3 linked regions of the Rattus norvegicus genome follow. The protein of the gene in region 2 purifies or fractionates together with the protein of the main gene of each other region. This does not show direct contact. Links are inferred from orthologs where the notes say so. Each region holds a gene or a part of one and is shown on either strand. Other genes may lie near its edges.

Region 1 (6,738 bases), on a different chromosome or scaffold from region 2:
TCACTACTGTCTCAGTTACTTTTCTATTTAAAAGACATCAACCAGACCTCTGAACTGGAGCCTGCTTACAGTTTTAGAGGTTAGTTTATGACTGTGATGGTGGAGAGCTTGGCAGCAGGAAGGCACACGTGGGGCTGGAGCAGTGGCAGAGGGTTTACATCTCCACAAACACCAGGCACAGAGAACTGACTGGGAATGGCATGCATGGCCTTTGAAACTTCCAGTGACAGATTGCATCTAACAAGGCCACACCTAATCCTTCCCAAACAGTTCCACCAACTGGGGCCAGTATTCAAGTATGTGACCCTGTGGGGCCATTCTCATTCAAACACCTTTCACCACATTTGTGATAATTTTGTTTTGTTAATTGGGATTACTAGAATGTGCAGGAGCCTTGGTTGGGTTTACAGTTTGATTTGATAAAAGTGGTGCTGCACAAGGGAGTTAAGACAGATCCAGTCACTGTAAAGGGCTTTTTATGTGGTTTCTAACTTGCAGATTTATAGCTAGGAAGGGAGAAGAACCTGAAGCAAATGCTGTCCGTTGTGTTGGAATTCTTGGTTCTCTGCTGTTGAGAGGTTTCAGCCTGTACCTTTTCATGTCCATCTATTCTATCTCTTGAAATGTAAAGAAGAAATTATTTCTTAGGTTAACAGAGAATTTGCTGGTAAAGATGCATTTTAAATGTTAAAATTTACCAAGGTTACAGTTTCTTTAGATGGTAAAAAAAAGTATTGACGAGTGACTGTTGTTGTAAAAATATAAAAATAAAGTATATTGTGGTCTTTTACCCCACTAGGTCCAGCACCTTAGTGCCCCAAGATATCTGCTAGATATCTTGACAGAAACACATCCCAGCCGCACACTTTCCTACACTCAAACCCTCACACAAAAGAACACACAACACAATAATCTTAGATCCAATTGATAAGCTATAATTGCCTACTTACACAAAGCCTGGTACCATCCATCCCTTAGGAACATTAATAACAACCTGTAAATACACAGAGCAGAATCTTAACATTACCTGCCATAGCTTCTCACCCTCTCCTCTGTCTAGTTCTTACTCTCTCTCCTAGTTCCTCCTATTCCTTCAAACTTCTCTCCCGCCCACCTTCCTTCTCCTCCAATGACAGACCTCCTTCTATCCTGTACCTGCCCCTCACCTGTACTTTACAGATTCAATGGGGAGAGGGTTCTGGTGAAGTCACCTGATTCCTAAGTAGTGACTAGGCAGCTGTCCTTGGAGCAGTGGAATTAGCATCAAAATACAGATAATTTCAAGGCAAACCACTACATGACTTGGTGTGCTATGTTGCAGTTTGTTGTTACTTTGTTGTCCTTGGGTTATGGAAAGGTGCAGGTGACTGGCTCCTACTTCCTTTCTAAGGAACTGGCATGCTTGCATCCAGAACTCATCTTATGGAACAATACAGACGGCATCTTAATTGATCGTTGACTTGCAAAAGAACTAGAAGAAGCTCAGTTGTGGATGTCCTGTAATCCTAGCATTGGAGAAACAGGGACCAAAAAGTGTAAGGGCCCAGTGGGAGGTAACAGTAAGTCTGGGATTCATCCTCTATATGGTGATCACTGGGTCCCTGCCTCTTAATGGATAGAACATAGCATAAATGCAGAAGCAGACAGGATTGTCACACATTCCCTTGTGTCTGTGGTGTATGAAAGCTTGAAAGCTTGAAATACCTGACCCTCTATAATGCCATCACCAGAGAGAGAAGTTTATTAGAGGAAATCCTGAGGGTACCCATGAGCAAATGGTGGTCATGAAGAGTATGATGGTTTGAATGAGAATGGCCCCCAATGGCTCATATGTGTGTGCTTGGTTTTTGGTTGATCAATTGTTTGGGAAGGTTAGGAGATATGGCTTTGTTGGAGGAGGTATGTTGTTGCCGGTAGGCTTTGAAGTTTGAAACGTCCACACCAGGCCCAGTGTCTCTGTCTCTGTCTGTTTCTCTTAGTCTGCGTCTTTTAGTCTATCTCTTAGTCTGTTTCTTAGTCTGTCTCTGTCTCCCTCCCTCCTTCCCTCCTTTTGTGGGTCAAGGATATAAAGTTCTTAGCTACTGCCTTACCACCATGTGAACTAATTCTGAACCTGTTAGCAAGCACCCAATTAAATGCTTTTTTAAAAAGACTTGCCTTGGTCATAATGTATCTTCACGGCAATGGAACAGTAAATAAGACAAAAGAGGAACTGAAAGTTTACAGAAGCAACTGATTGTTCTGACTTCCTAGCTGAGATGCTGCTGCCTTCAAGCTAAGATTGGGATGAAATTGAGGACTTGCTTTGGGCCAGGAGTAAGATGAAGAAACCAGTCAGATCCTGGTCTCTAAGACACCTTAGTCAGAGACTTGGGCCATCATCTTGGAGGCCCTGCCTAGTTGAAGAAGGAGCCGAGCAGACATCCTGCTGTAATAGAATAAATATAGAAGTTCCAGCTGCATCCTCTGTATTTCACATGGGTCAGGACTCCAGGAGCACCAGAGAAAAGACAAATACATTTCACATACACAGATGTAGTATTTTCTTAAGGGCAAAGAACATCATAAATAATATGAAAACCAAAGACTTATCTGGACCATATTTACAGGGACAGAGGGTTAATGTTCTTGCCAGAGTTTTTATTCTTTTGTTATTAATTTATTTATTTGAGATAAAAAATCTCACTGTATAGCTCTGACTGGCCCAGAATGTAACTCTAACTTTCCTTAAACTTGTGATCCTTCCTTCTTGCCTTTGGCCCCAGTGTTGAAATTATTGGTACGTGTCACCAGCCTGGTCCTATCAGAGATCTTAAAAAGCAAGCAACAAACTACATACAAGGAATGTAAAGTTGACATACATACATTGCAAGTTGAAGCCATGTTATTCTACTTATCATATCACTACATACAAAATAGATTGTTATATGACGCTACTGACAGAAGGTATGTTGATAGAATTTTCTCTGGGACAGTTTGGTAACAGAAGAGTTTTATATGTACATGCTATGACCAAGAGTTCCCCTTTAAATTTAACACAAGTAAATACTGACAAAAGTAAATGTATTTTGTATAACAGATGTTTATTATTCCAGTAATAGGTCAAAATTGAATCATGTGAATTCCTCTTGTGAAATAATTATTTTTATCAATATACTGGGAAACTAGCCATGAAAATGATAGACTTGTTAGTGTTTAATGGTATGGAATGATATCCATTATGTATGTATTTTAGGTGCAAATAAAATGTGTCTAGTGTATCACATTGTTTATAAGGCATGTAGTAACTAACATCTGCAAGTAATATCTGTACTGAACAAAACTATAATATATATTAGGTATATATATGTAACAAATGTTTTAAAAGGGTTGGTTATTTCAGTGGTACTTTAAATTGTGGTCACACTATATAGAGTGACCTTCTTATGAGCAGATCAGAAGCAGTGACGTATTCAAATAGGGCAGGTATGTGGGAAGGTAAAGATGGGTCCAGAGACCGCCCTAAGCATCACCCTATAGTGTTTGACCTAGGTGTCCTCAGGTGGAAGTGGACCTGCAGGGATGTGGAACCCAAGTATAGGCAGTGCTGGGGCAGGGGGGAGGCGCAGTAGAACGCACCCCAGGCATGGTAGGTGAGGCGGTTGCGCCCCAGGCCGGAAGGTTAAGCATGTTACACTCCGGGCCGGAAGAGTGAGCCAGCTGACTACTCTGGCAGCGGTTTCCTCACAGCGCTCCCTCTACCACCTAGGCCCCATGAAGTTTCGGGCCAGGATCACCAGCAAGCGTTTTATAGAGCTCTTCATACAGGTCAACAGCACCATAGCAAAGCTGACGAAGGTCTGTGTGCTCCGCGTGTGCCCTGACAGGCTGTGCTTCTGTCCAATGGGGCTGCTGAGTGAGGCCAAGCTGTGGGGTGAGGTGAGGCGGAATGTCTTCCACCACTTCTGCATGGAGGGTGTTTCGCAGGAGTTCAATGAAATCTATCTAGAGCTAACGTCTGAGCATCTGGCCAGAGCCGTGAGGAATGCAAGCAACGCTTCATCCCTGAAGCTGCAGCTCACCAACAAGCTGCGCCCCTGCCTTACTGTGGTGGTAGAGCTGGCATCGTGCCCCGGCCACACCCGCGCTATGGTCCACGATCTGCCTGTGAGGGTACTTCCCAGAAGGTGGTGGAAAGAATGCACAGAGCCCCATGTTCGGGGCTCTGACGTGAGTGTTTATCTGCCTGCTATGAAGACCTTGAAGAACATGGTGGAAAGGATGGCAAATGTGGGCAGTCACGTGCTGGTGGAAGCAAATCTAAAAGGCAAAATGAACTTGAGTGTAGAAACTGATGGAGTGACTATTAAAAGCTATTTTAGAAATCTTGGAAGTCCTCCAAATGCCGTTCTGGGTATGTCTCAAGGCAAAGACCCAGACAACATGGTACAAGTACGGGTGGATAATAGGAAACTTCTACGGTTTTTTGACGGACAGCAGATAAACCCCACAATGGCCTTATGTAATATTTTGAGCAATACCCTACTTCATCTTGTTTTGGTTCACGAAGATATTTCTCTTCAGTATTTTATTCCTGCCTCATGAATTTCAAGCAGCCTTAATTTTCTTTTTAAAAGAAATCTTAATTTAAGTTCTTTCCAGAACTGAGACTTTGAGTTACTTTCGTTAAAAGCTTGCAACCCTGTGGATTTTGTAGGGTGTTGATTTTGTTGAGTGCTTCCTTTGTAAATTGTTAAGAAATAATTGCAAGTTCATGTGATTGCTTTTTGGCTTTGACCATTACCTTACATTCAACTTAGTTGTTTGGGAATAAAGGATTGTAATAAAACAATTAACTGAATCCTGAAACAATTATATTATTTTTTATGAAAAATATTGTGAAGAATGAGAAATTTCTCCTTTTAAAATAATCATAAATTATTTTGAGAGACTTAATGATCTCAGTCTCTAAAGGTATAAGATGAATTTTTGTATGTATATCATATATTCAGAGATAACTGTTTTCTGAAGGTTCTCAGTGGAAGTCTTAACATTACTGGGGAATAGCCACTTTAGAGAGTTTAAACTCTCAAACAATTTACTTTCTCACTTCTGAGTTGGAAGCATAGGATTGTTTGGTTTGGTGACTATTTAAGTGTGAGGACTATATGTAAAAGCTGTTTTGGGAAAGCTTCAGCATCTTCAGGCTATGTGTATGTGTGTGTGTCTGTGGTGTAACACAGGCATGCTTTGTGATTCTGTTAGTAAGCTTAAACACAATGACAAATGCAACTTACAGAAAGAAGGGTTTTCTGGCTTACGGTATTTTGAGCAATAAGAATACATCATGGTAGGGAATCTTGGCAGCATATGACAGTTATGGTACAGGAATAGCTAAGAGCTCAAACCCTAGATTTTATGTATGAAGCAGAGCTTTAACTGGGAATGGCATGTGGTTTTAAAACCCCAAAGTCCTATGACATACTTCCTCTAAAAAAGCTGTACCTCCTAAACCTTGCCCAAATAGCACTACTAACAGAAACCAAGTATTCCGATGATGGAGACTGTGAGGAATTTCATTCAGATCACTGCATACTCATTTGAGCCATGTCTTCTAGCTTTTTCCATTGTATTTCATATAAACGAGAAATAAATTTCAAGCTATAATAAAGAATATGTGTATGTATAATATATACACATATATGGTGTGTGTGCGTGCATGTGTGTGCGTGCATGTGTGTGTTTCTACATAGAGTGTATTGAGACCAGAGAACAAGCCTTTCAGGATCTTGTCTTTAGAGCCATGGTTTCTTATTGTCCTGGAGCTTTCCAAGTAGGGTAGGCTGGCCAGCCAGTGGTCTCTAAGAATCTGCTTATTTATGCCTCCCCAAATACAAATGTATGCCACTACACTTTTCTGTTTGTTTTGATTTGTTGGTTTTCATCATGGCTTCTGGAGATTGAATTTGGATCCTTATGCTTGAGCAGTAAGCACGTCAGGGTTGGCTGTCCTATAATTCATTGCACATCTCTGGAGTTTAGTTTATTCAGATCTCTTCTTTCTCAACTTTGTGAATACCAGCACATCCCTTTCTGCTAATCAAAGTCACCATTCTCAATGATTACCAGCAGTAACATTTCTGTTAGACAACTTTTCTCTATAATGGCAGTGGTAATTCCTCACTTTCATTAAGATGTCATGCTACTGTTTTTTGGCAACAGGGAAAGCAGAACATTTGTACTTAGAAACTTGGTTCTAAGTTCTATGTGAACTAGACTAGATTCTCAAAGTAGTCCAAAGAAGCCAATTTGGGCTGTAATTTCAACAGTGTCAGTAAGCTAATTATTCACTCAGAGAACTCAATTTTCCATGCCAATTAAAGGAGAGTTTACCTTTGTCAAGAATTGGTTTGTGGATGTTAATCCATGAAACAAGTTATTTATCTAATCTTTCCTTGTCTATTTTCTGTACAGTAAGTGTTATAGTATCTTTGGAACAACATAATTATTCACTAAAAGAGTTGTTAAACCCCCATGTATGTCCTTAATTTTTTATTAATCCATTACCAGGCTAAATTCTACATTATAGTTTCCGGGAATATGCATAAGTATTTGAAACACTATTATGTCTTCTTTTAGAGGACTAGTAAAAGAGAGCAATAGTTATCCCTTTAAAAGAATAATTATTTGTAAAATGCCATTTTATATAAAATTAACTATTAACTGTTAGCCTATTGATATTCTCTATTTAAAATCAGT
Region 2 (6,058 bases):
TCTGGAAGGTAGATGAGGGCAGAGCAAGGAAACTGTAATAAGCTTTCTTTGCCTTCTAGTCTTTGCACTTTGTCAGAGTAACCCACAAAGTACCCTGGAGGAGTGCACAGAAAACTATAGACTGGGTTTTGTGTGGTGGGTGGTCTTCCCTACGAGCCATTTTCTTCTGTGCAGGCAAGAGACGATACAACATCAAACTGTGGAAGACTTTCACCGACTGCTTCAACTGCCTGCCCATTGCAGCCATTGTAGATGAGAAGATCTTCTGCTGCCACGGAGGTCAGGATGGTTGTGGGGTCTGTGCTTGGGCTATATCCTTAGGGGCCTTGGAAAGTTAACAGAACTCTCCTGTTTCCTGGAGTAGCTCTCCTTGAATTTGGCTGTCACTTATTACAGGTCACCCACAGCCCAGTTTGTTTTTGAGACAGGGTTTTTCTGTGTTCTGGAACTCACAAGAGTTCTGGTTATCTCTGCCTTCCAAGTGATGGGACTAAAGGCCTGCACCACCTCACCTGGCTACACACCCCAGTTCGACTGCGCTTTCCTGTTGTGGTATTTAGCATGCTATAGGCAACTCATTCATCTCCTTCCCCCACGGAGGTCTACTCTTTTTTTTTTTTTTAAATATTTATTTTATTTATTATATATGAGTACACTGTAGCTGTCTTCAGATACACCAGATCTCTTTATAGATGGTTGTGAGCCACCATGTGGTTGCTGGGAATTGAACTCATGACCTCTGGAAGAGCAGTCGGGTGCTCTTAACCGCTGAGCCATCTCTCCAGCCCGTACTCTTTGTACTTCTAAAAGCTGAGGGATGGCCAGGTGGCGGTGGCATACAAAGGGAGTTCCCTGGGTTGGGGATTTAGCTCAGTGGTAGAGTGCTTGCCTAGCAAGCACAAGGCCCTAGGTTCGGTCCCCAGCTCCGGGAAAAAAAAATGTTAATACATAAAATATCCAATAAAAAAAAAACTGAAAAAACATATTCCTAAAAAAAAAAAAACAAAAACAAAAACAAAAAAAACAAAGGGAGTTCCCAGACAGCCAAGGCCACATAGAGAAATGGGGCCAGCAGGAATATAATGAACTCTGTTTCCCTAAACTTAAGGAGCCCAAAAGATGAACCCAGCGTTGGTGGGGAAAGTGGAGCTGACCCCTGAGACCTTTCTGGGCATGGGATAGTACCTGCTTTTCGGTGTAAGGAACACTATTCTCACTCTACCACCCCAGGCCTGTCTCCAGACTTGCAATCCATGGAGCAGATTAGACGTATTATGCGGCCCACGGACGTGCCTGACCAGGGCCTGTTGTGTGATCTGCTGTGGTCTGACCCTGACAAGGATGTTCAAGGCTGGGGCGAGAATGACCGTGGAGTCTCCTTTACCTTTGGGGCCGAGGTTGTAGCCAAGTTCCTGCACAAGCATGATTTGGACCTCATCTGCAGAGCACATCAGGTGGGCTAGTGGCCTGGGGCAGGCTGTGGGGATGGCTAGCTGCTTAACTTAAGAGACCAAATGGTTCCTGTCCTTGCCCAGGTTGTAGAAGATGGCTATGAGTTCTTTGCCAAGAGGCAGCTGGTGACACTCTTCTCAGCTCCCAACTACTGTGGCGAGTTTGACAACGCTGGCGCCATGATGAGTGTGGACGAGACACTCATGTGTTCCTTCCAGGTGGGTGTGGGAAGAGATCCTTATGCGCTCCTCCCAGGTGGGTGTGGGGAAGAGGCTGCCTGGCTCAGTGCCAGGACCTGATCAGGGTTCTCTCTTTCAGATCCTCAAGCCCGCTGATAAGAATAAGGGGAAGTATGGGCAGTTCAGTGGCCTGAACCCCGGAGGCCGTCCCATCACTCCACCCCGCAATTCTGCCAAAGCCAAGAAATAGCCTCCATGTGCTGCCCTCTGCCCCAGATGACGGATTATTTGTACAGAAATCATGCTGCCATGGGTCACACTGGCCTCTCAGGCCCACCCATCATGGGGAACACAGCGTTAAGTGTCTTTCCTTTATTTTTTAAAGAATCAATAGCAGCATCTAATTCCCCAGGGCTCCCTCCCACCAGCACCTGTGGTGGCTGCAAGTGGAATCCTGGGGCCAAGGCTGCAGCTCAGGGCAATGGCAGACCAGATTGTGGGTCTCCAGCCTTGCATGGCTGGCAGCCAGATCCTGGGGCAACCCATCTGGTCTCTTGAATAAAGGTCAAAGCTGGATTCTCGCCATGGCCTCTGTCTCCCTCATCCCAGATAGTGGGCCAGCAGTCCTTTGGTACAAAGCCACCGGGGAGGGCAGACAGTGGCTGGACATGGGCCCAGCCAGGGCTAGTCAGGTCTAGAGGCAATTGGGATTCTAAGCCAAGGCCCAAGTGTTAGGACCACAGAAGGGTCTGATGGGAGTTCATGATTGGCAGAGAGCGTGTGTTCAACATTGATCTTTTTTAGAGGCAGGTGAGCCTAAGGAAGCTTAAGTTTCTGGCTCTGACCAGATACTGTAGAGCCTCAAAGTAAGAGGTGAAGAATCTGTCAGGTGATAGCCGGGCACCAGAGTATAGGCTGAGTAAACAGACCAAACATGGTTGCCTAGGTAGCTCTGAAGCAGACAGCCAAGTGGGGCCTACCCAAGGCATAGACCTTTTCTCATGTCCTTTTCTCATGTCCAGAGACTAATGCCCAACTCTGCCTGTGGCTGGGCCTGCTTCTGGTCCGTGAGCCTTTGGACACAGACTTCAGTTTCTCAAGTTCAGCCTTCACCATCACTGTCTTCAGCCAGCACAGGGTTGGGACCCTGGGGGGAATGTATAGGGGCCAGGATGGAGCCAAAGAAAAGTGAACGAAACTGGAAAGAGAATAGAGAAAGCCTAGTTAGTTCTGGAAGCTGCTTCCTTCCTTCCCTCAGTTCCTATCCCAACCTTCAGCTTTTACCTTCTTGGGTGGGGGAGTCCCAGGCACTGTACTAGGCTCAGCTTCCTCCTCTTCCTCCTCTGAGGGAGGGGCAAGGTCATGGGAGGCCTGGGGAACAGGTGGGAGGGAAGTGGAAGGCTGTGCCCGGGAGCTCTCGTTGCCCACGGTGGTTTCCATGGCAATCATGTAACAGTCGATGTCATCATTGGTAAAGTCATCTGAGTGGGGTGTGCTGTAGGCAGAGATAATATCAAGAAGGTACAGAGAAAAAAGGGATACAGAGGCAGGCCCCACTTTGGAGGGCTCAGAGGAGGGCTTGAGGCCTCAAGACTGCTGGTGAGCTTTCAATTTTATTACTTCCTGATTTGGCTGGGAGGATAGGATGCAGGGGTTAAGTGGGAGCTTCCTGGAGGGGGTGGAACTGGAACCCCTTTGATCAGAGTTCAGGTAGGGGCCTGAGGGAGGATCCTGGGGCCAATTTAGCTCAGCTGGGGGAGGAAAGCAACAAGTCCTGTGAACAGGGCCACGTGGGGCCCAATCTCTCACCTTCCCAAGGGATAGGAGCTGGAGAGCTCAGGAGCCCAGGGATATGCTGGGCTGAGAGCCAGACCAAACTTCCTCTGCTTCTACTCTACTGAGCCCAGCCTCCCAACCCACCTGCCCTTCCAGCCACCTGCTTCTCTACACCAGGCGGCTCCCTGCCTCCCAGCAGCTTTCTTTCCTAGTCTGGAAAGAGGCTCAGAGGGGAGGCCTCAGCCAGAGAAGGAAGCCAGCAGGACCTTGGGGATGCCTCTATGGATGGGAGGGGTCTCAGTACAGCTGACCATTAAGGCTGGAAGCCCTGTAGAGGCTGGGCCTGACAGGAAGTATGCATGGGGGAGGTGCAGAAGTGAGAAGTAGCAGGCTCAACCTTAGTGTGCAGAAATGGAGGGAAAGTGAGGTAGTTAGCACCCTTACCTGTGTGGCTGCTTCTGAGGCACTGGCTGATGGGGCTTTGGGGAACACAGGTCCTGGGAACATGAGTCTTGCTCTAAAAGTGTGGCCAAGACAAAGTGGGCATCTAGCAAAGAGTCCTCAACGGTAAAGATGACTGGCCTGAGTGACAGAAAGGCTAACTGGGTTATCCTGCTCTGGGCATCCTAGAGCCCTACTTCCTACCCAGCCTAAAAGCCTGGAATTACCTGCCTGGAACATCAAAGTGGATAGTAAGAGGCAAATTTGCAGACTCTGCAAAGCTCAGGAGCCCCTGGGAAGGAAGAAGCAGGTAGTAAGAGCCTGTGTTTGGCTGAAAAGACCAGGTGACAGCCATAGTAAACTCACCCGAAATTCCTTGAGACAGAAGGTGACAGCTCTCCCTTCTGGGGCATGCAGCTGCTGGAAGTCCTCCTCCCCAATGCTCGTCTCAGTCACCATGGCCTTGCTGGTGCTATCTATGTGGCAGGCACAGAGGAGTTAACATCCTTGAGTCACTCCTAGCTCTTGTGCCCTCCTGGGACAGGTCTAACTCCCTCACCTGCCTCCTCTTCCTGGTAGCTGCGCAGGATGACGCGTCGGCCACGGCCAATGCCCAGGGTCACCTCAGTCAACGCAAGGGGAAAGGACAGAACCGCCTCTGCCAGAACCCTGTGACAAGGACAAACATCGGATGTGCACGAGATGCTTTGCCCACTCTTATGTTACTTGCCTGGTGAGAAGCTCTTAAGGCAGTGGAAGCGCAGACTAAGTAAAACCAAAGCCTAGACACAGCAGAGGGGCAGGCAAGGCAGGTTGCTGTGGGAGCAAAGAGCCTTTTGCTCAGGGACCCAGGAACGAGAGCTCGGAAGTGGGGGAAAGCAAAGCTGGGTACAGGACAACATTGCTGTTAGTCCCAGCTACTTTTTTGGGGATGGGTGGGGGTTGTTTTAAAACAGGTTCTTTACATTTAGCCCTGGCTGACCTCAAACTTAGCAATCCTTCTGGCCTTTTGACTCTACCCCCCCCACTTTTTAAGATTTCTTTTATTTATATGGATATACTGTAGCTGTCTTCAGACACACCAGAAGAGGGCATCAGATCTCATTATAGATGATTGTGAGCCACCATGCAGTTGCTGAGATTTGAACTCAGGACCTCTGGAAGAGCAGTCAGTGCTCTTAACTCCTGAGCCATCTCTCCAGCCCAACTCTACCTCTTAAAAAGAGCTGGGATGGGGTTGGGGATTTAGCTCAGTGGTAGAGCATTTGCCTAGCAAGCGCAAGGCCCTGGGTTCAGTCCCCAGCTCCGGGAAAAAAAAAGAGAGAGAGAGAGCTGGGATTACAGGTGTGCACTATCATACCCAACCCAGGGGCTCAACATATCAACCCAGGGGCTCAACAACACCCTGCACCCATACCCAGAAGTGGAACAGCGATAGGTCTTACTATATAGCTTGAGCTGGTCTTGAACTCACAGAGATCTACCTACCTCTTCTTCCCAATATCAGGGATTAAAGGTGTTGAACACCAACCCAGGCCTTGCCCCCATCTTCTAAGGATTTATAATGCTGAACGTTTATAGAAAAGTAACTCCTAGATTTGCCTCAAGACTATAGTCTTTGGGTTCTGTCCCTAGCATGAGATGGAGGTGGGGTATCTGGCATCTATATTTGAATTTTTTTTTTTTTTTGGTTCTTTTTTTCGGAGCTGGGGACCGAACCCAGGGCCTTGCGCTTCCTAGGCAAGCGCTCTACCACTGAGCTAAATCCCCAACCCCTATATTTGAATTTTTAAAACTTATTTTGTGACTGTGTGTGCTGTGGAGAGAAGAACAGCTCCGACGCTCTGGTGCACATGTGGAGACTAGAAAACCCATGGGAGTCCATTCTTCCACCATGTAGATTCTGGGGATTTAAAACCTGACAACTCAACCAGTCAGGCTAAAAAGAAACAGGCTTAACTGCTGAGCCACCATCCTGACTTCTATATTGAAACTATATGAGGAAGAGAAGCAGTTAGGGCTGGGAATTTAATTTAGCTCAGTGGTACAGAGTACCCAGCAAACACAAGGTCCTGGGTTCTGTTGCCAGTATTTAGGGGGGAAATAGCCCCTCCAAAAAGGAACTCTTATCACTATTAACAGACCCTGGGGAAGATGACACTGGGACCTGAAGGGACTTCAGTCTGAGAAATGAGTGGGACCTTGGGCTA
Region 3 (7,212 bases), on a different chromosome or scaffold from region 2:
AAAGCTAACACCAGGAAAGACTGAGTGCAGGGGTGACCATGGTATGGGGTGAGTCCTGTGTTTTCCTGTGGAGTAGGGCTGGTGCCATCCTGTTGAAGACCCGTTGTGTGCAGCTCCTGCTAACACTGCTGGGAGGGAAGAACAGCTTCAGGAGCCTGGAAAAATGAGACCTGGGAGAGGGGAGCAGGATGTGTTCTGGTTCTAGCGTGTTGGCACCCTTCCTTCAGCATCTTGTTCTGCTGAGTGACTCGGTGTGGGCAGATCTGTGTGGGGACACTGGTCTCTCCGTGCTGCTGGCTCTTGCTCCCTGAATGCTCCTAGACTTTCAGACATGGGCTGCAGGGAAGTGTGCAGAGTCAGCTCAGACAAGGTGGGTCTCAACAACCTCAGACAGCATCTTGTACAGAGGGATGGGAGCTCTTGGACGGGGGGCCAGATCTTGAGGAAGAGTGCTAGAATTGTGGAGGTGATAAAAAGGTGCATTTGTGCGCTCTGATGGTGCGTGTCCTAGCTGTGCAAGTTGGGCGTGCTGACTCACACTGGACCGAGTCCACGCACTCCAGAGATGGGGGCAGGTGGGTCACCTGGAGTCTGAGCCCAGCGTGAGCTCCATATACACTGAGAGCTACACAGGATGGGGGCTGAGCTGAACTGTTGCTCATGTCCCATAATACCCTCTACCCCCACAGGCCACGTTCTCACTCTCAGTATCCTTAAGCTTCCCTGGGTCCTCTTATGTGAAGTGTTTGGTTTCTCTCCCAGTGATTGAGAAGTTCACTGAAAACACCAGGTTTTGCCTCATCTGTAACTACCTGTCCAAGATCATCCCTGCCTTGCAGTCACGGTGCACGAGGTTCCGATTTGGCCCTCTGACGCCTGAGCTCATGGTTCCTCGGCTAGAACATGTGGTACAAGAAGAGAAGTGAGTTTGTTTTAGAAGAAGGAAGAGGGGAGGTGTGGGGATTTGAGTGGCAGGGAGGTTGGGCAGAGTGGCTAATCGGAGGGAGTGTTGGCTACTGCCATCTCCTGTGGGCCCTGGATAGTCTGTCTCCTGAACCCTTGGTTCCACACCTACATTCCTGCAGGCTGTTCCCTCTGTTTTGTCTTGGGAACTGACTGTTGCTGAGTCCCTTTTTGCAGATGCTGCCAGCTGGCTGGAAGGGAAGGCTCTGCTCTGAGATCCACTCTGGGCCGTCAGATACCGAGCAGTGGCCTCTTCCCAGAAATGTCTCTTTCAGCAGCCACCTCCTTAAAGCCTTGGTCCATAGTAAAGCTCTGGCTGGATCCAGCTACTCATGTGACACACGTCCCTAAGCACTGCAGTAACTCAGATGTTCAGGAGAGTCCTGTCACCTCCGTTTTGATGTTTTCCTTCTTTTAAAGCTTCGTCACTCAAGGATCATACGGTTGATGAAATTTTGCTCTTTGCAGACAGCTTCAGTTAACTCTTACCCATTTCCTTTTAGCGTGGACATAAGTGAAGATGGAATGAAGGCCCTTGTCACTCTGTCCAGTGGGGACATGCGAAGGGCTTTGAACATTCTGCAGGTATGATCAGTCACACTGCAGGTTCTTCAAACCATTGCTTCAAAATAGTTTTCTAAGAAAGACAGCCAGCTGATCCACACATTCATTCAGAAACCTATTAAGATTCTCCTTGTCGTGCACCAGCTCTGCCTGTGCGCTCTAATGGGAAGTCCCGGTGCTGCTCTAAGCTATGGGAGGACGCTGCAGCTCTACTGCATGGGGCAGCATTCACAGTGGAGGGCAGCCCTCCCCACTGTCCTGGGCCTGTGTCATGTCACTGGCAGGACAGCTGCTGACAGTCCCTGGACCCCCTCCTCCTGCAGAGTACCAATATGGCCTTTGGGAAGGTGACAGAGGAGACTGTCTACACCTGCACCGGGCACCCACTCAAGACGGATATTGCCAATATTCTAGACTGGATGCTGAATCAAGACTTCACCACTGCCTACAAAAGTATCCTTTTTGGTGACTGTTGCCAGGTTCAGGCCTGGGGTGCGGGGGGCTCGAAGCCCAGGCTACAGCCAGCACCTATACCTGCCGGGTGACAGGTGTCAGCTGATGGGAAGCAGGTATCCCCAAGCAGAGAGCCCTTCTCCTCAATGGCTCCAGCCCAAGTGAGTGAGGCTGTATGTAGCTTCTCCGTTCACGGCAGTTAAATGGACTCATGACCTTGTTCTGCAGTTAAATGAAAGCTACAGGTGGCTGTGTGACCCTTCAAAGAGAGGTCTGCTCTGCTGTCTGAGGAATAGGGCTGTACTGTGTAGAAAAGCCTTATTGAAGGTAACGGGTCAAGTTAGAATTGGACCTGTGTACAGCTACTGGGATGAAGACCCCTATTTCCAGGTCGGCCTCCAGGGTCTGCTGTTGAAGCCTCCCCACAGCATGTTCTGGAATGGTTCCTCTCACCTTAGCTGCTTTTCCCTAGATATCATGGAGCTGAAGACTCTGAAGGGCTTGGCACTGCACGACATCTTGACAGAGGTTCACTTGTTTGTGCACAGAGGTAACTGGGCTGGATAGGAGGCACAGCTTTGGGATGGCCACAGAGAGCATAAGGTCTTAGCTCTTGAGCAGAAACAGGAAGAGGGTGACTGATCCTTAATCTTGAGCGGTTCTGAATGGCTTTGTTGCAGCCCCTTTTTAATACCTGGAGCTGCATAGAGGCTTTTTCCTAAAGGGGACTTTTTGGATAGGAAGTACTGTATCTTTCATTCTTGTTACATGCTCCCCATGCCAGGGACTGAATCCAGGGCCTTGTACATGTGAAGCATGTAATCTACCACAGGGCTGTATCCACACCCTTGCTTCTGGGGTCTGCACCCAGACACTTGGAAGTCACCTGTGTGCTCCTGTAAACTAGGCAGCCTCCAGGAAGCTGCCTTTCTGCTCCTGTTTACTGCCTTGTTTCAGCGATCAGTCTCAGCATGGGCAGAACCTGGGAATCACCCCAGACCATTCAGGATGAGGCAAGGGGATGTCAGCCTTTGGAAGAGGCCCTAGGGGCTCCTCCACATAGCCTTTTCTCCCAGCAGCCACCCCCAAATGGAGAGGCTCTCAGGTCCCAGGACTGTGAGCCTGTGTGGACTCTGTTGCTTAAGTTTGTCCTCTGGGTAACATGAGCCTTCTGGTTAGTTTACCTGGTTAGTGAACCTGGTTAGTGAGCTTTCTGCCACCTCCAATGGATAGGGTCTGAGGCTGCTTGGGATGGGGCTGTGTGTGTGTGTGTGTGTGTGTGTGTGTGTGTGTGATGGAACTCATCTCGTCCTGAGCTGCACCCCAGCCTGTGTGTGCTAGAAAGCAGTGGGGCCTACACCGGGCTCAGTTCATCGGTCTGGTGACCTACATGCAGTGGGTCGGAGGGATGCTCATGCTTGTCAAAAGTCCTGTGTGCGGGGGGATCCTGCTCATTAGATTCTGTTTTTCCCTCAGTTGACTTTCCGTCTTCAGTTCGGATGCATTTATTGACCAAAATGGCAGACATTGAGTGAGTGTTTTCCCATTTCAATTCTTTGGCTTTAGTTTCAGCTTCTGTGCCATTCACACATGGGGCAGTCTGGTTTGGGGTAGTGCCCAGTGCACTGTGGAGAAGGCTGTGTGCTGCCTCCAGAGCCCAGGGCAGCGGTGCGGAGGATGAGCACAGAGCGGCCTCTGCGCGAGTTGAGCCCTTGCTCTCCTCACACTGGGCGTGCAGACAGGAGATGGCCAGCTACTCTGCTTACTAAGGCATTGTGGCACACATGAGCACAGTAAACACTGTCACTACTCCCCAGTGACGCTGGCAGCTGTCATTTAAGTGGACAGCACACTGGGCTCCAACCAAATACTAGTATCACAAGTTCCAGGAGGCTGTCACTAGCTCATGTACACAAAGTAGGTCACGTCCTATCACTATTGGGAGTGATTTTGCTTTTAGTGGCCAGGCATTTAAAAGTAACAAGATGAGCTGCTAGTTCCTGCTTTACTGCCCTGTCATAAACCTCCAGCTCTCTGCTGCAATGCCACAACCAGAGGAGCATCTGCAGAGCTTATAGCACGGTCCCTAACCCTCACCCCATGCACCCTGCCTTCTGTGCGTAGAGGGAGGATGGATGCCGAGTGCAATTCAGAACCTCCTGGTGCTGAGTTTCTAATCTGCCCTCGGCAGCTTCAATCAAATGGCCAACTGAGTGCCAGGGAGAAGAAACTTGAAGGACACAGACCAGAGTCCTCACCAGGGTGTGTCTGTCAGCTCCAGTGCCTTTTGTGCAGGCTACAGTAGCTCCCACATTCTCGCCGATAGGCAGGGCCTAGCGTTTGCTTTATACTCAACTTGGGCTGTTCTCCCCAGGTACAGGCTCTCTGTCGGCACCAGTGAGAAGATCCAGCTGAGCTCCCTCATTGCTGCTTTTCAAGTTACCAGGGACTTGATAGTTGCAGAGGCCTAGAAAACCCAAGGCCTGAGTTGCAGAAGCCTAGAAACTTGGCCCTTGCTCAGGCCCATCGGTGACTGGAGGACAGAAGACATGCTGCCCTGGGCCAGTGGATAAAATCAGTCACAGACTTTTCTCCCCAGGCATTTAGATAGTGCTATCTGTGGCTGTTTGGAGCAGGGATCTACAGAGCAACTTTAATCTGGAAGAATCCATTCTGCTTGTCTTCTATAGGGGAAAATACCCCGCCCCGTGGAGAGGGCTGCTTTAAAGTCGTCACTGTCACTCTCTGGGATGACAAAATTGGCTGCAGTGTTCATGTGGAAACTGAGTGTGCTTCAGTGTCTCCCAACTCTGAATGGGTGCCAGGAGGATTCTGATCTAATGTTTTGTTAAGAATTTCAAAATCAGGGGTTGGGAATTTAGCTCAGTGGTAGAGCGCTTACCTAGGAAGCGCAAGGCCCTGGGTTCGGTCCCCAGCTCCGAAAAAAAGAACCAAAAAAAAAAAAAAAAAGAATTTCAAAATCAGTCTCTTCTGCCCCTAACCTCAGGACTCAGGAGGCCGAGGCAGAAGTGCCAGGCAGTTGGCAGTTGCAGGCCAGCGTAGTGAGACAGACCCTGCTTACCAGCAGATTCCAAATTCTATTGTGAAAATAGGAAAGAAATTCCAACACAGTTGGCCTTCAGACTGCGTGCCTGCCTTGTTGGGAAGGGATGGGGCAAACTTCCCTGTATTCACAGCAAGTACTCCCCAGTGAGAATAAAGTGTTCTGTGTTCTAATCCGCACTGGCCTGTCTGCCTGTGTTTCTGTTACCTTGGGACCAGACTTCCCTTGGGCTAGATGAGGGACTGAAGGCACCCAGTGCAATGTGCTGCATCTCAGGGGGAGATGTTTCAGCATGTGCTGTCAAAGGGAGACATCGGTTTTCTTGTCCATGGGGCGTTTGCTCCCCAAGTTCCAAGCTGAGTCTGAAGTTGTGGCCCTGTGGCCAGTGCTGGAGGCGGCATCTCAGCTGCATAGCGGCGCAGAGCCACCCACTGGTGCCCTCTCCTGGGCTTGGTCTAAAAGACGTCTTTGCTTCTTTCGTAATAGGAAAAAAAAGGACAGAGACAGGATTTTTTTTTTTCCTTTTTCTTTTTCTCTTTTCTCCCTTCAATGAAAGCCTCATTTGCAATGTACTTCTTCAAATAACAGAGGGGATCCTGTGCACACTGCAATGTTAGCACTGCCTCCATAAAGCATCAATTAAGAAAGGCCCAAGAGTAGGATGCTGTTTCTTTTAAAATAATTTAAAATATATTAACTTTCCTAAGGCAGATTTTGTGTGAGGCGTGTTGAATAGGTAGCTGCTACCGCTGCCAAAGAACGGTGCTTGGAAGGGGCTGTCTGTTCTGGGCAGTTGGAGTTGGAGGGTAAATCCCGTGAGGTCAAGCAGCAGAGACAACGCACGTGACAGCACAAGCCAGTGATGTCAACACTGACTCCACACGGCTAAGACTTGGCTCACAACTGGGCCACTTAGGAACCCTGGTTCTTAGAGACAATTGAGAAAACACAGTTGTACCTTAGTATCTGCTGAGAAAACACATAAATATGATGCTGATAGTGGCCGTCTGGCCGTCATGCAGTTGAGGAACACCTTGTATGATCTGATATACTCGCTTGTCCTTTTCTATACATGCACACCACTGTTGAAAGGAAAATAAAAGCCGGCTAGTGTTTGCTGAGGAGCACAGCCCAGTTTGTGTGCAGCTGAGTACGGAAGCAAATATCAAAGTCCCTCTCACCAGAACAGAGGGAACTTCAAACCATGCAGCTGCTGCCTGGAAATAGGCTGCAGGGACCCTACGTGGCAGGCACTTCCCAGTTAAGGGAGTGTGGACTTGGCCACCACCAGAGAGGCTCTGGAGCCTGCTTGCTTTTATTACCCACACGACTTCCACAACTGCACTTGGCTTCAACACAACTAGACTGACAAAGGCTGCTCACAACGGACGAAGGCGAGGTAAGGCTGGCACCACGGAAGTGGGATCACTCAGACCTACTTGCACATGCCATGGGGAGGAAGGTCCACACTGGTCCAGCGTGGTCTGCCTGGCTCCATCCTCGCCAGTCCCTTGTACTGGTTCTGCTGCAGGAGATGGGGGCTGGCACTGCTACAAAGTCCTGTACGTGAGGAAGTCTTTCATCTTCTTGGGGATTGGCAGTGCTAGGACTTGATACGTAGTCAGGAAACGTCGGAGGGCTTTCCTGCATAAGTGCTTCAGTGAGGACAGGACTCGCGGAGCCGTCCAGAACTGGACATGGCCATCTCTCGTCCTGAAACAACAGAGGCTAGTGCTTAGCAGCCCCAGAGAGCTGTTTTCATTATAGTGGACAGTGGTGGTTCTGGGTTGACCTGAAATGGAGACTCCAGAAGCTGAAGTGCGTCTGGACGAAAGAGACTTCAAACTCTGGGTAATGACTGCTGTGTGGTGGTGTCCTTAGAACCAGGATGTGACCCATGCCTGTGGTCCCAGCTGCTTCATAAGATTAATGTCGGGTGAAACCCAAACCCAGGAACTCAAGACTAGTGGGTTTTGAGACTTTCCAAAAACAATAAAAACACCCTTGATGACAAGAGCCTAGCGTGAGGAGGTTCTGAGTAACACAGTAACAGCCAGTACCATTACCGACTACAGATGTGATGTGAAGGTGACCTCAGCTGTAGACTCCCGTGTAAAAGCTCCCTGTGGAACTGGCCATGCAGGTAACATGGACCATACACAGGTCTC

The links.
Region 1: the proteins of Rad9a (region 2) and Hus1b purify together in Homo sapiens (co-immunoprecipitation; 3 studies listed by BioGRID and IntAct, counting the BioPlex papers as one, with this or other methods). This does not show direct contact. The link is inferred for Rattus norvegicus from reciprocal best matches to the Homo sapiens genes RAD9A and HUS1B.
Region 3: the proteins of Rad9a (region 2) and Rfc5 purify together in Homo sapiens (affinity purification with mass spectrometry; 3 studies listed by BioGRID and IntAct, with this or other methods). This does not show direct contact. The link is inferred for Rattus norvegicus from reciprocal best matches to the Homo sapiens genes RAD9A and RFC5.

Annotation. Positions count from the first base shown.
Region 1 is NC_086035.1:33,739,018-33,745,755, forward strand, and holds Hus1b (checkpoint protein HUS1B), read left to right. Parts: upstream 1-3,672; 5' UTR 3,673-3,753; coding exon 3,754-4,584; 3' UTR 4,585-4,840; downstream 4,841-6,738.
Region 2 is NC_086019.1:210,915,982-210,922,039, forward strand, and holds the end of Rad9a (RAD9 checkpoint clamp component A), read right to left. Parts: intron 4,518-6,058; coding exon 4,408-4,517; intron 4,325-4,407; coding exon 4,215-4,324; exon of another isoform or gene 4,154-4,214; intron 4,141-4,153; coding exon 4,076-4,140; intron 3,990-4,075; coding exon 3,852-3,989; intron 3,127-3,851; coding exon 2,916-3,126; intron 2,830-2,915; coding exon 2,734-2,829; 3' UTR 1,989-2,733; downstream 1-1,988. Other genes in the region: Ppp1ca (serine/threonine-protein phosphatase PP1-alpha catalytic subunit), read left to right, coding at 175-279, 1,231-1,454, 1,536-1,670, 1,771-1,881. UniProt on the Homo sapiens protein: Component of the 9-1-1 cell-cycle checkpoint response complex that plays a major role in DNA repair. The 9-1-1 complex is recruited to DNA lesion upon damage by the RAD17-replication factor C (RFC) clamp loader complex.
Region 3 is NC_086030.1:44,872,930-44,880,141, forward strand, and holds the end of Rfc5 (replication factor C subunit 5), read left to right. Parts: intron 1-762; coding exon 763-922; intron 923-1,466; coding exon 1,467-1,548; intron 1,549-1,850; coding exon 1,851-1,980; intron 1,981-2,452; coding exon 2,453-2,530; intron 2,531-3,456; coding exon 3,457-3,511; intron 3,512-4,354; coding exon 4,355-4,451; 3' UTR 4,452-4,950; downstream 4,951-7,212. Other genes in the region: Wsb2 (WD repeat and SOCS box-containing protein 2), read right to left, coding at 6,595-6,757. UniProt on the Homo sapiens protein: Subunit of the replication factor C (RFC) complex which acts during elongation of primed DNA templates by DNA polymerases delta and epsilon, and is necessary for ATP-dependent loading of proliferating cell nuclear antigen (PCNA) onto primed DNA.